2 linked regions of the Arabidopsis thaliana genome follow. The protein of the gene in region 2 interacts with the protein of the main gene of each other region in a pairwise test. Each region holds a gene or a part of one and is shown on either strand. Other genes may lie near its edges.

Region 1 (8,343 bases), 7.2 Mb from region 2:
GTGTAACTATATACTTTTCTTTCCTTTGCTTCTTCTTGGCTGTTTTCTCAAGAGACGTTATAAATTTGATTAGCAAACAACCAAGTAGAACATTACTCCATAAAACGTTACGCATTTATATGTTTTAGAGTATGTCTTATACATGTATTGATGAATGACATGTACCTGATATTCAAAGATGATAGAAGATTTATGTGTGTCTTGATAGTTTCTTCTGTATTATCCGGTCGATCTCCCAAATATATGATATAGAAATCCTTTATATGATTAAGTATTTCAAGAGTAAATATTCTCCTTGCAACATAAAGTTTTGTTCAATCTGATGACAAAGAAGCTGGAGAAACAAAGAGATTGTATACAATCATTACCTTTGCATGTTCATCTTCGGCTGAAGCATATCTTGGTGATATCCAAAGAACAACCATAACAAGAACAAGTAGATGATGATGGCAAGAACATTTTGACCTTATCATTGTGGTATTGTGTATATGATAAGTATGCTTATTGAGTAATGAGAAGATGACACATTCTCCTCTATTAATAGAGAGTAAGAGTACCTTATGGGTTTGATTCGTTAAAGATGTTACTTTTGATAAATGGAGTGAAAACAGATTTAATTTCTTTTAATTAATCTAATGTATAGCACACATGCGGAATTGTAATAGAGCTTGATAATTTGTTTTTGATAAAAATTAGTTCGTATGGTGTCTTAGAAGGAAAATAGTGGTCACTTGCTATATCTAATTGTTTCTATTTTGGTGATAACATAGATTAATACACATGTATATGTATAGAGTAGTAATAGGAACTTGAGATTTGAGCTAATAATAAGATTTTGATTACTTGAATTCGAATTCAAGCAATTGAGTTTTTACCATAGTAATAGCTTTAAAGTTTTCCAATGGTGATCATATATTGTCTTGTAAGGCTCTACTCCAATGGTTCTCTCTTAAATATTACACTAATTGATACACACATATAAATATAATTTGTATTCATGTTATTATTTCATCATCAACAATTATATATTGCTTAGCTCAACCCTTTATTCATTCACTTAGTTTCAAAAAATGACATTTTCTGATCAAACAATATGTCAATTTAGTATTAAAAAATTATTCAAAATTGATAACTCACATGATCACACATGTGTCATATCTATTAATTAGAGATTTTTTCATGTATAAAATCATTATAAAAAATTATATAATATTAATTAGAAATGTTGCTTATGTTTTGCATCTTGCTTATTTTTACTTGATTTTTTGTCAATACATTTATAAAAAAATTTATATATGTTTCTTATTAATACCTCTAAAGTTATGAATATAAAAATGGCTTATTGCTTCTATAGCCATAGGGCTAAACTTCATTTCGGCAATTCAAGAAACGCTCTGATTACACCGTACCTTCAATTACTCCAAATATCTTACAAGCATGCTTTGACTTTGTGAGCCTCGATTGGAACTGATTGTTCAACCAATAGTCGTGTTTTACAGTGTCTCATCAAGGTTTGGTTTACGTCGACCCTTCATAGCCGCTGGCACTATCCTCCTCTCACCATTGTGGTACTACTTATCGGCTATGCAATCGACGTTGGGGTTTTGATTGGTGATTATTGTCCAATCCATATGTATTTTACTCATTGGTTTATGTAGCTTAGTCCTTAGACATCGCTAAGATCATGTTCAAGGTCCGTGTAGGGCCTTCTAGTTGATGTAGAGGCGGGAAATGCTAAGAGAACACAAGTTGAAAACCAGCTTTTATAAAAATGGTGAAAAAAAAGACAAAATTGGCTCAAATTCTCTAGTAAATTAGGAAGATTGTTAAATCAAATGCATGCTTCGAAGATGTTGTTAAAATAGTGTGGACTACAAAGCAAACCAGAGTATCAAACTCAATTGAGTCGGGTTTAAATAATATTTTGGGCTGCTTGATATAAGAAAAAAAAACTTTATTGAACCCATTTAAGGCCCAATATAAGTGATAGGGAAAATGAGAAATGAGACTCATTGGTTCGTGTCTCGCGCCAGAATCAAGCCTCCTTCACGCTCAAGATTCCACCCAAGTTGTGGAGAACCGGTGTACTCTAGGCTGATTAAAACAACATATTCGATGGTCCAAGAGACCAAAGCAACTTCAACATATTGGCCTATAAGATACTCCATTTAATCAATGTAAATCATATAGTTCTTATATTAACATTCTAGACAACAATTTAAATACGAATTCGACCAAGTATATATATTACAAGGAGAAACATATGGCTAACTATAGATCTCTTACGGTCCAAATAAACAAACATACGATAAAAATAACTTCATTCTCGTTTTATCACTGACGAGGCAGAACCACTGGTTCCCGGCGATGGCTGAGCTGGCATTTGCCCACCGTGAATAAACTCACGCGCCAGTGCTTGGAGCTCACCGCCTCCGCCCATATTGGACGATGACGGGACGCCGAAGAGATGATCAGACGGTCGTGGTTGTTGCTGCATGGCCCAAGTGGAGGACATGACCGGCTCGAAGATGGAGGAGAGGTCGTACACCGACGGTGATATTGTTGGGAGGTCCGTTATGGAAAGAGCCTGTAGAGATCCTGAAGATGACACCGGAACCTGTGGTGGTTGAGGTTGTGGCAGCTCTAGAGTTGCTAAGTGTGCTTGTAGATATGAAAGCTCAGTTTGCAAACTTACCACCTGTTTTTTTTATAACGAAATTGAAATGGATAATAATGCCAACAAATATGAAAGAGTGATAAGAATCTAGATAAAATGATATTTTCAGCAATCTTTAATAATTGGAAGAGTTTCCGAATTCGAGCAAATGTTGTTGATTCAATAATGCCAAAAAAACACGACAGGAGTAATTGATCAATCAAGACCACCGATTTAGAAAAATATATGCTGAATAAAACAATCTAATTATAACACAAAAGACATTGTACATAACATATAAATAAATGCTTGCTTGTAATATTGGAAATATCCTTCACTAACATCAATTTATAGAATGCAATTGCATACGTTTGTATATATCTCGTGTATGTGTGTACTATATATGTATATTGCAATTAAAAGATAAACCAAAAAAAAAAATGATGCTTGGGAATAAGTGTAAAACAACGTGGTTGTTGCGAACAGAGGAAGATTTGTCATCTCAATCACTTGGAAACAAACCTTGTAAACATTCAACAAAACTTCACAATACATATGTGCTAAATGATCGCTTAACTTCCTTAATCCTAGCCAATTAACTACGACTGTAGAGATTTTAACTAGGAAATAGAGAGAAGTTTTCATATATATGCTATATGTGAAGTGAAATACACACACATAGAATTATGCTTTATGCATGTTTTCTTAACAAACTACTATTACTAAAAGTGTAAATCAAAAGATAAGCTTGTTCTATATCACATAAATATAGACTCATAGACACGACATTTAATATAAAGACATAACTTTGCCCAAAAGGCAAAGGCCATGAACCCAGTTGTAAAATTTTAGATTTTTAAAACTCTTATTTTAATGTAGAGTTGGTTTTCGATCATGGCAAAAACAAAAAATATTCATCCTTAAAAGAACAAATCGGAATGAATTAAAAAAAAAAATCGATGCATAAGAAAGGGTAATTTGCATCATTGCATGATGGGATATGATCCTAGAAATGACAATCAGAGGAGATCCATAGAATGGGAAAAAGTACTTAACTTTGTAGTTTAATTGAACATTAAGTCAAAATGAAAAATCTCATTTAAAAAAAAAAAGTTTGAAAACGCAATTTTCTTCAAAAAAAAAGAAGAAGTTAAAAACATAATTACATAGAAAATGATTAAAATAAAATGATCAACGTGACGATATAGAGACAGTAGATCAACTTAAAACTGTTGCAATTTCCCATCATAAATAGTACTAATCATATAATTAAACGTTATGAAAAGAATAATTAACCTGTTGCTGAAGAGAGACGATGTGAGAGACGCAGCCGTAGATAGGGTCTCTGAGACGAGCTTGAGCCTCAAAGCAGATTGAAACGACGGCGTCTGGTCGTTTATGCTCGGGAACATGGTGGAGGAGTTTGGAGACGTTGCTCGCTCCGAACACCTTGTGAACCGCCGCGAAGTGCGCCGCTCCTTGCTCGGAGTCAAAGTAAGGAGCGAAGATGCAGCCAGCGACACACTTCCTTCTCAAGAACTTGCACGCGCCGCACGGTCCTCCTCCTCCACCGCTGCTGCTGCTAGGGTTTCCGCTACTGCTCATCTTCCTTTTCTACCACACAAGTCCTTTTTATTTTCCTTTCCTTTTACTAGCTAAGTGGTGATTAGGGTTTTGAGATACATGGATTTAACTCATCGAGATTATGATGCTTTTTGGTTCGTGATTAGAGAAAAAAAAGAAAGGGAACGTTTGGGAGAGAAGAAAAGAGAGAAGGAGGAGATCGGACGTAAGCAAAACTAGGGTTTGGTTGTTGGTAGATAATAAAAAAAGTAAAATAATAATTTAATTAGTCTTGTTATTACCAAGACTAAAAAATAAAAAAGAGGTTAAGACAAGAAGAAGAAGAAGAAAAAAAAGACTTCAAAGCAACGCGATGGAGCGTACTTGTCTCGTGTTAAGCTCTTTGCGTGAAGCAAAACATTCCATATCTTTCAACTTCTTCATTGTTATTCCCTTTCCTTCACTTTTTCTACTTCTGGTTTAATTTTATTTTTGTTACATCGAACCACACAACTATCTTATGGTATATACCAATTGTAATATATGAACATTCAATCTAATACTATGAGAAATTAATTTTACAAACAAATAAATGTATAAAATGAGCTTAAATATATATATATATATATATATATATATATATATAATCTAATTAATTACTAATTTTTGGCGGTGATTTTAATGTGATAACTTTGTAGTCGAAATGTAACGGTTCACCGCTATGCGTTATTTTCTTTTTGGTTAATCGGATATTTTATCAACATTTGGCAACATTTTCTAGAAAATTTAAGCGGTTTTTTTCCGTTAGATTCTTTAAATAAAATTTTTTTTGCAAACTTTAATTTTACTTTTGTCGTATATGACACGAACATGTATATTATGATATTTGAATTAAGTGTATACCACGGCGATAATACCTATACAAATTACTAACTTTTTTTTTTTGGTTTTAGAAATTCACTGCCCCAAAGTATTTGTAAAAAACAATGTTCAATTTTGGTAATAGAATTCATAATTTATCCAAAAAATTAAAATACAAACTAAACTACTAATGTAACAAATTCACATATATTGCTGATGCTACATATATGTAAAATTGATAAAGAGGGAGGGAGAGAATATGCAATTTCCAAAACAACTAGATTTATTACATATGACCATGTAATGATTATATGCAAAAACTCGTATTTATTGACGGTATTAATGAGTTGATGTACGCAATCTATATTTGGGTCAGGGAATCATGTTTACTCAATATTCGATTAAGGTACAAATAAGGAAACTCCAACTAGTGCATATATTTCACAAATATTTGAACTTTCCGAAATTACAAGATCTATGTAATGTATAGTCTAGTCAGTGCGGATCTCCAATATATTATTACACGATAAATGAGTTTAAAATTTGGTGACGGCAAGAATGATCAAATACACGTGTGTACGTGTGCGTGTATAATATACATATCTCACATCATTGATTCAAAAAAGAAAAGAGTGACGATTACGACGGTCCAATAATAATCACCAAATGAGTAAAGCTAAGTTGGTTTAGAAGAAGAACCGGTGATCAAAACATAAAAGAAAGAAACCGGGATTGGATTTGAGAGAACCGGAAAAATTGGCACGTATATATGATCGCCATGTGTCGAATGTGACTTTTATGAAGAACGTAACCGTTCTGACGCAACCAATGGCTCGTTTGCGAGTGCATATGGTATACAAGTAACGCTCCCATTTCATTTCTTATGTTATTATTACTTGATTAATTATGAACAGTGAAAACTAATTAATTACATTACTTAGGAGATTAACAAATAGATTAGAAGAAACGGTAACAGTTGTTGACAGAGGTCACCGTGCCGTCCGGCTCTTGTCCAATCTTTGTTTGTACTAACATGAGACACGTGTCCTCGTATCACGCCCTCTTCTGCTCCTTTCCTCACCGCTTGCGTACGCTAATGTACACTGTTTGTATTTAATACATTCACTAGGCCTAATAGTACAAGAGAAACAGAAGAAAAAAACTATTCTTTTTGTCATATACGTACATTTTAGGTGTAATCACTACTATTAATCATTTCGCTATAAAGAAGGATCCGAAACAGATACAAGGCCCGGCCCATTAAGGAGAAGGCTTTAAATTAGGGAAGTGAACAAGGGTCAGGGATCTTGTCAAACAGAGAGAAAGAGAGACATGACAGTAACTGACTGACTGAGGTTGTACTTGCGGGGGAAGCAAACAGTGATCAGTGTCATGTCTGTTTCTGACTATACGATTTGTAGAAACAAGAAGCAACATACATCTCGATTTTCTCTCTATAATTCTATCACGAAAGCTGTCCATAGAGAACTAGTTTGACAAAAAATTATATACAGTATATAACATATATAAAAGAATTACACACGTGTGGTGAGGGATCGCACGTGTGTGTGACAGGGAAACCTGCGGCTGAGTGGTGAGAGAGAAATACGTCAGCAAGCAGCTAATTGTGTTTTGCTTCACGCAAAGCATTTGTGTTTGTTTGTCCTTTGTATATATCACAAATCTGCTCTGCCGTTGCTTCCAAGCTTTACTCATTCTAATTAGTACTAGTACATTCATTCTCATTACTATAATAATTCATAATCCCCACCACTTGATCCCTCGTTATAATCCGATTTTAGTACCTTGTTAACTGAACCCACCAGCCTATATATATCTTCATTACTCACTATCTAAAATTCTAAATCCTTACTTGTTCACTACTTTCTAGGCCTTGCTTGTGTGATAGACTGATAGTTAGTTCTAGATTCTCAGTGGCATATACAAAATCTTTTTATGTCTTAAACCTATGATTGCTAATTTAGATGATATATATTGTTGATTTGTCTACTTTTCAATTTACAAGTATATGTTATCCCTCCTTGTGTTATATGCTTTCATTGATTTTAGGAGTCCATAAATAGATAATTCTTTCACTTGTTTGAAAATAGCTTGTTTCTTGAGTGTGTGATTCAACTATGTACAGAAAAGTGAAACACACCAAGGAAAACAAAAAACAAAAATATGGACATACAAAAGAAAAGATGATCAAGTTATAGAAAAATGTAATGATTATAAATGACCCACCACCAAAAGCAAGACATGATTTTCTTGCCTGACACGATCCTCTATGCTCCACATCAACTTAAAAACATTTATTCATAAACAAACCCATCCATCTCTCTCTCTTAAACATCTCTTTGGATTGGATATATAATAACTGTGGTCGACGACGACACAACTTCCCCCAAACAAAACGTTACGTCTTTGACATAAAAGATGAGCGGAAGCACCACCGGTTGTGGAGGTCCATGCGGCGCATGTAAGTTTCTCCGACGGAAATGCGTTGCTGACTGTGTCTTCGCTCCCTACTTTGATTCGGTGGAAGGGACGTCTCATTTCACGGCCGTGCACAAGGTTTTCGGGGCGAGCAACGCCTCCAAGCTCCTCATGATGATTCCAGCCAGCCGGAGACTGGACGCTGTCGTCACGCTTACTTACGAGGCATTGGCTAGGCTTCGCGATCCCGTCTACGGATGCGTTGGTCATATCTTCGCCCTTCAACATCAGGTATTCAACTATATAAAACCCAATATTGTCACATATTTATGTATATATAATATATGTTTGATGATCTATATACATTGAAAGATTTACTATGCATGCATGCGTGTATTTAGTTATATAGAAGTTCATTGTATAATAAAATCATCCCATAACATTAGGTTAAAGATGAGATTTATATATCCGCATCTTTTAGCCACGTAACTTGTTACTTTTATAACAGTTCCATTTAATCGCCTCTTGGTTTCCTGTTTATTAGTTTTGAAAATTGCATAGTACTAATTCCACAATAAGAGTCAAAGTTGCTAATATTGAAAATAGCTAACGTGTGTCTTCCCAATGGCTCGTTTGTCGAAAACAGCGTTAAAGAAAGTCAAATCGTCATTCTTTGTGGTTACATTCCGACTTGTTTGTCTTTAATAGTATATCGGTTGAATAAAACAGTTTGAAAATTTTCTTCTAATACGAATAAATTAGGTTTTTTAAAAACTAATGTTATATGAACTTTTTAATTAAATAAACGTCCCACATGTGAACAG
Region 2 (7,502 bases):
ATATATGACATGATACGATCGATTTTATATCTATTTTTATCATTATTACCCCCGTTATTTCACATTTCTTATAACCTTTTGTTATTGTATAATTTTTCTTTTTATTATCAATCGGAACAAAGAAATACAGAAGTTAAAAGCAAAAGTAGTAAATATTATTAAACAATTATTGCGTGTAAAAATAGTGTATATGTGATCGTGTACAAAAGTACATGCATAACATGATCAATATAGAATGCAATACAACTATACAAATGTCAACAATCTACAAACACGTTTTAACTTTGAAAAGCAATCTAAAATTCATGAATCTAAATATACTCTCTGGCAGCTTTCTTATTACCATATCTTAAAGATTGAACCAAATAAATAAATTTACATCATTAACCAAATTAAACCATCCACATTTAATTTAATTACAACAAGTAAGTAAAAGATCGTCTCTTTCTTCTTTCCCGGAAAATCCTCTCATTTTTGACTTGCTCAATTTTGCTTCCTTAAGACCCAAAAATCCAAACCTAACCCTAATCGACATTTTCTCCGATTTCTAAATCCTCCTCCGGTGAAAATGTCTCACCTTGATGATCTTCCTTCTACTCCCGGAAAGTACAAAACCGATAAAGTTCCACCGTACGGGATTCTCCACCACCACCGTTACCTCCGTCTCTCAAAACTCACCCTTTGGGCTTCTCTCTTCCTCGCTCTCTTCCTCTTCTACCTCGTTTTATCTCCTCCTCCGTCACCATCTCGCCGGAATCTCAACGATTCTTCCTCCATTTCCGCCGCGAAATACGGCGGCTCTCACTGGGAGAAACAAGTCCGTAAATCCGCTCGTCCTAGGTCTCACGGCGGTTTAACGGTATTAGTCACCGGAGCTTCCGGATTCGTCGGTACTCACGTCTCGATCGCGTTACGAAGACGCGGCGATGGTGTTCTAGGTCTCGACAATTTCAATCGATACTACGATCCAAAGCTTAAACGAGCAAGACAAGGCCTTTTAGAAAGATCAGGTGTTTTCGTAGTCGAAGGCGATATAAACGACGCCGTTTTACTCAGAAAGCTCTTTGATGTTGTCCTCTTCACACATGTTATGCATCTCGCTGCTCAAGCTGGTGTGCGTTACGCAATGCAAAACCCTGGCTCATATGTTAACAGTAACATTGCTGGGTTTGTGAATCTATTAGAAGTATCGAAATCAGCGAATCCGCAACCTGCTATAGTCTGGGCTTCCTCTAGCTCTGTTTATGGTCTGAATTCGAAAGTACCCTTTTCGGAGAAAGACCGTACCGATCAACCAGCGAGTTTGTACGCAGCTACGAAGAAAGCAGGTGAAGGAATTGCGCATACTTACAATCACATCTACGGATTATCGTTAACGGGTTTGCGGTTTTTCACTGTCTATGGACCTTGGGGTAGACCAGATATGGCGTATTTCTTCTTTACTAAAGATATTCTTAAAGGGAAGACGATTACTGTGTTTGAATCTCCTGATAAAGGTAGTGTTGCTAGGGACTTCACTTACATTGATGATATTGTAAAAGGTTGTTTAGGTGCGTTAGATACTGCTGAGAAGAGTACTGGTAGTGGTGGTAAGAAGAAAGGTCCTGCTATGTTTAGGATTTATAATTTGGGGAATACTTCTCCTGTTCCTGTTACTAAGCTTGTGACTATATTAGAGAAGCTTTTGAAGATGAAAGCTAAGAAAAAGATCATGCCTCTACCGAGGAATGGGGATGTTGAGTTTACTCATGCCAATATCACGTTAGCGCAAGCAGAGCTCGGTTATAAACCTGCGGTTGATCTTGAGACGGGTTTGAAAAAGTTTGTGAAATGGTATATGGGTTTTTACACTGGCTCGAAGAAGAAGAGTTCTTGGTGAGCTCTGTCTCTCTGCTTAAGTCATGGTCTCTGTTTCCCCTTGTTGAGCTTGGAGTTCGCTCTAGGTTAAGCTTTTGAAACCGAGCACTTGCATTGCCAGGAAAAATCACTTACGTATCTGCATTGTTTCTGTGTTGCTAGATTTTGCTTCATTTATTTGTTAGTAGATTTTGAGCAATGTACAGCTTCATCACTTAGATGTTTCAATTGTCGAAACTCAATTGTCTTTTCCATCATGTCGGAGGAATAAAGTAGCTTGGATTTTGATGCATATACTCTGTAGTAATTCAATCTATTGTCACTTGTTTCTTGTGAATTCAAACATATATTTATTCTTATTCTGACCAATTTTTACATAGCTCTAATCACTTGACTAACGATGATGGTTTGGAAGAACAAATCAAATCACTGCATAATCTTATAACAAGAAACAATGAATGTTCTCTAGCCTGAAGTTTATGTAATATGCCAATAGATTCACAAGATTGTTCTCTAGCCTATACCATGTTATCTTCCTCTGCGCAATCAACCACGACATATGCGATGATGTTATCGACAAGTTCTTGAAGATCCAACACCATCTTCAGTATCGATCTTCCACCAGTCAACACCATCACCAATCTCCACAGGTTCCACCTCTGTTCCATTCTCAATCTCATCATCATAATCAAACTCGTAATCCCAAACACCGCAAGAACCACCTCTCTCTTTCTCCAAAGCAGGATCATAAGTCCACTCCAACTTCTTCAACACATCTCTATCCTTCCACTTCCCCACAACTTTCTCAACTTCCTTCTTCGCCTTCCCCATCGTCACTTCCTTCCACGAATACGCAACATCCGCTACTCGCTTCAGCGCACCTTCGTTCGAATCTCCAATCACAACCGTCCTCAAACACCTCTCCTTAGCTTCCCACAAAATCCCCGCAAAATCAGAATCATCAGACACTAAAACAACACACTCCACTTCTCTCTTATCCATCACTTCAACCAAATGTTCCTTCAACGCCTTATCAGCAGCATCTGGCTTATCACTAACCATCTTCACCCAAAAACCAGCTCGTTTCAGCTCATCAGCTAAACCGTAACCTTCCTTCGGAGTCAAAACATTCCTCGCCGCTCTTTTATACTTCTCAATCTTCATCGAATACTTAGCCACAAGTCTCACTCTTCGATGTCCTTTCGAAGATTCAATCTGTCTCATACGTTTCTGATTCTCTGTCTCATGAATCTGCTTGAAATGATTAATTAGCTTCTCGTTAGTGTAGAATCTCCGGTCACAAACACCGCAGAAGTAAGGCTCCGGTGGTTTAACTAAACCTTTGTTCTCTAATTTGTTTAGCAATTTCCTATCTTTCCTCTGTTCTCGAACTTCTAAAGGAACGTAGCTAAAGGCGTGACGATTCGCATACGCCATCATTAGCTTCACGGTTCCGAAAGACGACGCGGCGGTTCGGAGCTTGACGGCGGCGTCGTAAGGCGGGAAAGAGGCTGGTGGTTTGTTGTCTAGATCCCACCAAACCCCTACTCGGATTTTGGGTTTAGGGTTTATCGAGCTAGAGCTAAAGCTAAAACCTTTGATTGAATTGAGAGATGTGGTTTGGGTTTTAGGTCTCCAACTTTTTAGGACAAATCTTGAAAACATCGCCGGGATCTTTAAAATCGACGGAGAAGATGGGGGCTTCAAAAAACCCGGTTTACATTACATACCCGACCCGGATCCGATTAGAGTTCGGCGATTCTCATGTAAGTTCAATCTGGAGCAAAGAAGAAGACGAATTGAAATACAAAATATAACACCTATAACCCTGAACTTTGTAAATGTTACAATTTTCTTCCTTAACTTTATTAGGGAACAAAACACACCACTGTTCATAGAAAATTATCAAATTTCTACTGCATTAGGTTATTACTGTTATTGTTTTGAATACAGTAAAAGATAAAAACAAATAAATAATGAGCGACTAAATTTTAAAAGAGCAAAATGTGTAAATAATAGAAAGCACATTGGTTTAATCCCAAAACCCAACCAAAGTTTTCTTCCAAAAGTGTAATAACTTGAAACATACAGAGAACTCTTGCTTTGTCTTACAAACTTATACAAAAAGTCAAGAGAAACCAAAACAGATCAAAGAAACCCAAAAGTAAAAAGATTTAAACAACAAAAGAGGTAATAAATAAATAAAGAACACTAAACCAATTGTCTGGAGATAAAACCACCACCGTGAACCAAAACCAATGTACAGTAACACAATGTGAAAACCACACAAGACTGATAAACTTCACCAGCGAGTTGAACTAATATGAGGTTGTTCAATGATGAACTCAGTAACTGAATGGTGTCTGTGGGTAAAGGCGGATCGTTGGAGCTTCCGGAACTTTCTGGAAATGTCGGTGATTGATCTGAAGATGAGCTTCCAGAGTCTTGAGGCATATTGTTGTTACGGTCGTCCTTCTCCTCATCACTCTTCTTCTTGCTCTGGCTGCTACCGTCTGTGCCATCTGCGCCGCCTTTTGGAATGCTTTTAACCACTTCGGGTCGTGGTTCTACTCCTACCCGCCTTAAGTGTAGCTGAAAACATAAGAGTGAGATTCATCATAAGAATATAATGTTTTGATGCAGTAACATGATGTTCCTTTACCAAGCAATAAAACCGGTTTGATTGGAAAAAAAAATCCCTTCAACGGTATGAAATCTAAAAAATAGGTAGAGAAGTTTCAAGTTTCTTTAAAAGTTCATAATTTCTTGAAAAGAGCCTTAGGAGTATATAAATTCGGCTGTCGAAACTGAGTATATGTATACTTCAAATTTGGCTTTAGATACTGAGTAGATATGTACCTGTAGATGCAAATTGACTTCGTCGGGCCGTGATAGGAATGGGAAATCTCCTCCACTCTTTAAGTAAGCTCTCCTTGCTTCAGGATACCTCTCTGTTAGTTCATCTTTAAGATGTTGTGGTATTGCGCAGTAATCATTTGTCTGATTTGGAAGACATAACAGCATTGTTAGACAACGATAAAATTACTTGCATTGATAATACGAAAAGTCCCGTATATAGCTAATCGAAACCTACATCCATTATAGTAACTGAAGAATCAGAGAGTAGTAGAGATCCCACGGAAGCAGCATCCACAGTTAAAGTTAACCGGGAAGCCAAATCATCTTTCGACAATGTCTCCACCTAAATCAGAGTAAACCAAAGAAACCGAGCTGGTAAGTTTATCTAAAATTCCTTGTCCACATGTTATTCAGATCCGTTCAAGAAAATATCATAGATGAAATAATCAGGATAGCAACCTGAGAAACAGCAAAGTCGACAGAGTCAGCTATAAAGGGTTCATGAGGTCCGTCACGAATTCCTGTTAAGACGTATCGTTTAAGCAAAAAAGAAGGGGTCCAACTGACACTGCACAGAGCATCACGAAAAGCGTTGAGAGTCAGTACAAATACTTAGGCACAAACAATAAAAATAAAGAAGGAATAATCGTATAAGAGAGACATACAAAGGAGCCCATGGCATTGCAGTAGCAAAAGTACGAGTATCCAAATATGTATTTGATAGAACTAATGATTTAACCCGCCTTGGACGGTGATGAGCAAAGAGTTGTGCTAAGAAGCCTCCAAGGGAAGTACCGTAGAGATGCACCTATTAAGAATGGTCAAGTACAATCACTTACAATGCCATATATTTCCGCACCAATAAAAAAATTTAGGAACTTAGATGGTGATTTGTAACTTAAAGAGATCTTACGTGATGAACATCAATGGTGTCCAAGAACTTCTCAAATGCTTGAATCCACTCATGATAATTCCAAACCCGTGGAATATCAACTGAGATTACCCGATAACCCTGGAATTGCAGATTTAACAACATAAGTTCAACATTTTTGGAGATATCTAATCAGTCCCCAAGGATCACATCAACACATAAGCATCTAAGTTACCATATCCTAACAAATGTTTAAAGCTACCTGTGATTAAGAAAAGATTGTTTGCAGATAACTGTTGAAAGACTAGAACTTGACAAACCTTCATAGAGAGTGCCATAATCTGTTTATAGTAAACATCTGCAGTTCCTGCAATTCCAGGAATACATATGAGCGGAGGAACAGTCTTTGGACCAAAGTCATAGTAACGCCATTGCTTTGTCCCAATCTGCAGTTAGCATGCACATAAAGCTAGATATTTATAAGATTGTTTATGCTCTGAGCAAATGACATTCCAAGAAAAAACAAAAAAAATGAAATCTTTCATTCCGAAGCTTGAAACAGTGGACATACATGTACAAATGCTTAACAAATCACAGTTTTCCAAACTCTAAGCAACACAACCCGAACAAACATTACATCTATAGAGCCATTCAATAGTTGCTTGGGATTAGTAGAGCTAAGAACTAAATATGCGAACATAAACAAAGACAAATCACTAAGTGTGTCACAGGCTACTCATAGATCAAATCAAAAGCAACACTAAAAGAATCTACAGAAGTTAAAAAGATCAAAAATGGAGAATACCCATCACTAAACTAAAGACTACCAAGTTCTTGCTTTTAGACAAGAACCCAAAAATTAAAATTCTAAGCATAAAATTTGAACCCAAACTCAGCAGGATAAACCCATTTACGATAGAACTACTCACACAAAAAATTCTGCATAAACCCAAACGATTAAAACCCACATGAGATTAATCGAAAATCAACAAAAAAAAAAACAAAAATCAAAACCTCAAAAGCTCGAGATTAAACCTAATTTAGTAGCCGAATAGAATGCAGAATCGAAAATTCATCAAAAGTCAAAGAGAGAGAGAGGAAGAAGAAACATACGGGAATCTTGTGAAGAGGAACCTGAGATTTAAAGTAGACGTAATCTCCGGGCGTCGAAGAGACGCCTTTCATCGCCGATCGGAGATTTTCAACATCCGATCGAATTTATGTATTTAATTTCGCTTTTGCTCTTCACGAACAACTTTGCAATTAATCTTTTTTATTTTTTTTTGCTCTGATTTTCGATAGGAATTATATAACGGCGAGATAACAGAGTCTCCTATATCAACTGCCTGTCAACGTTGACGCCGTGAATGGTCCGTGATTGTAGCAGTCATTCTCAGTTAACGACGTAAAGTATGTAATAATTAATGGTCATCATGTGACTCATCAACATCTATTTTCACATATGTTTTGATTAGATTTCGGTATGAATCAATTTCCAAGAATATTTGGATTTTGATATAATTTCTTTCATTTTATTGATCTGTCTTTCCCAACCGAATTACCCATATTTTTAATATATTTGGAATAATTGCAGAAAAATGCACAAACTTTTCTTTATTTTTAATTTTTCATAGTGCAAATGTAAAAGTAGATAATTTAGCACGAAAGATTCGTATCAAACCGTATTATACCATATATGTAAACAATATTTTTTGGGATTAACTATTTTGAATTCTAATTAATATCGGTTGCCAAAAATATAAAGATCTATTTTACGTACTACTCTTAAAATTAATCGAGAATCAGTTAAAAGAAATAAGTAACATATATCCACCTGGAATTAACATTGTCTCCAATATTTAGTAAATTATCGACCCAAAACACATGGAAAAAAGGAAACTTCTTAAAGAAAAGG

The links. The genes of interacting proteins can lie anywhere in the genome.
Region 1: the proteins of AT4G12240 (region 2) and JLO interact in a two-hybrid assay, tested with the Arabidopsis thaliana proteins (one large-scale study listed by BioGRID).

The regions. Positions count from the first base shown.
Region 1 is NC_003075.7:86,065-94,407, reverse strand, and holds JLO (Lateral organ boundaries (LOB) domain family protein), read right to left. Parts: upstream 4,501-8,343; 5' UTR 4,262-4,500; coding exon 3,953-4,261; intron 2,699-3,952; coding exon 2,321-2,698; 3' UTR 2,153-2,320; downstream 1-2,152. Other genes in the region: XSP1 (xylem serine peptidase 1), read right to left, coding at 1-39, 166-257, 369-473; LBD31 (LOB domain-containing protein 31), read left to right, coding at 7,520-7,810. UniProt on the Arabidopsis thaliana protein: Involved in the positive regulation of tracheary element (TE) differentiation. Involved in a positive feedback loop that maintains or promotes NAC030/VND7 expression that regulates TE differentiation-related genes.
Region 2 is NC_003075.7:7,283,915-7,291,416, reverse strand, and holds AT4G12240 (zinc finger (C2H2 type) family protein), read right to left. Parts: upstream 3,615-7,502; 5' UTR 3,523-3,614; coding exon 2,428-3,522; 3' UTR 2,192-2,427; downstream 1-2,191. Other genes in the region: GAE5 (UDP-D-glucuronate 4-epimerase 5), read left to right, coding at 569-1,879; AT4G12230 (alpha/beta-Hydrolases superfamily protein), read right to left, coding at 4,069-4,449, 4,717-4,857, 4,952-5,059, 5,176-5,284, 5,382-5,524, 5,630-5,728, 5,908-6,033, 6,701-6,772.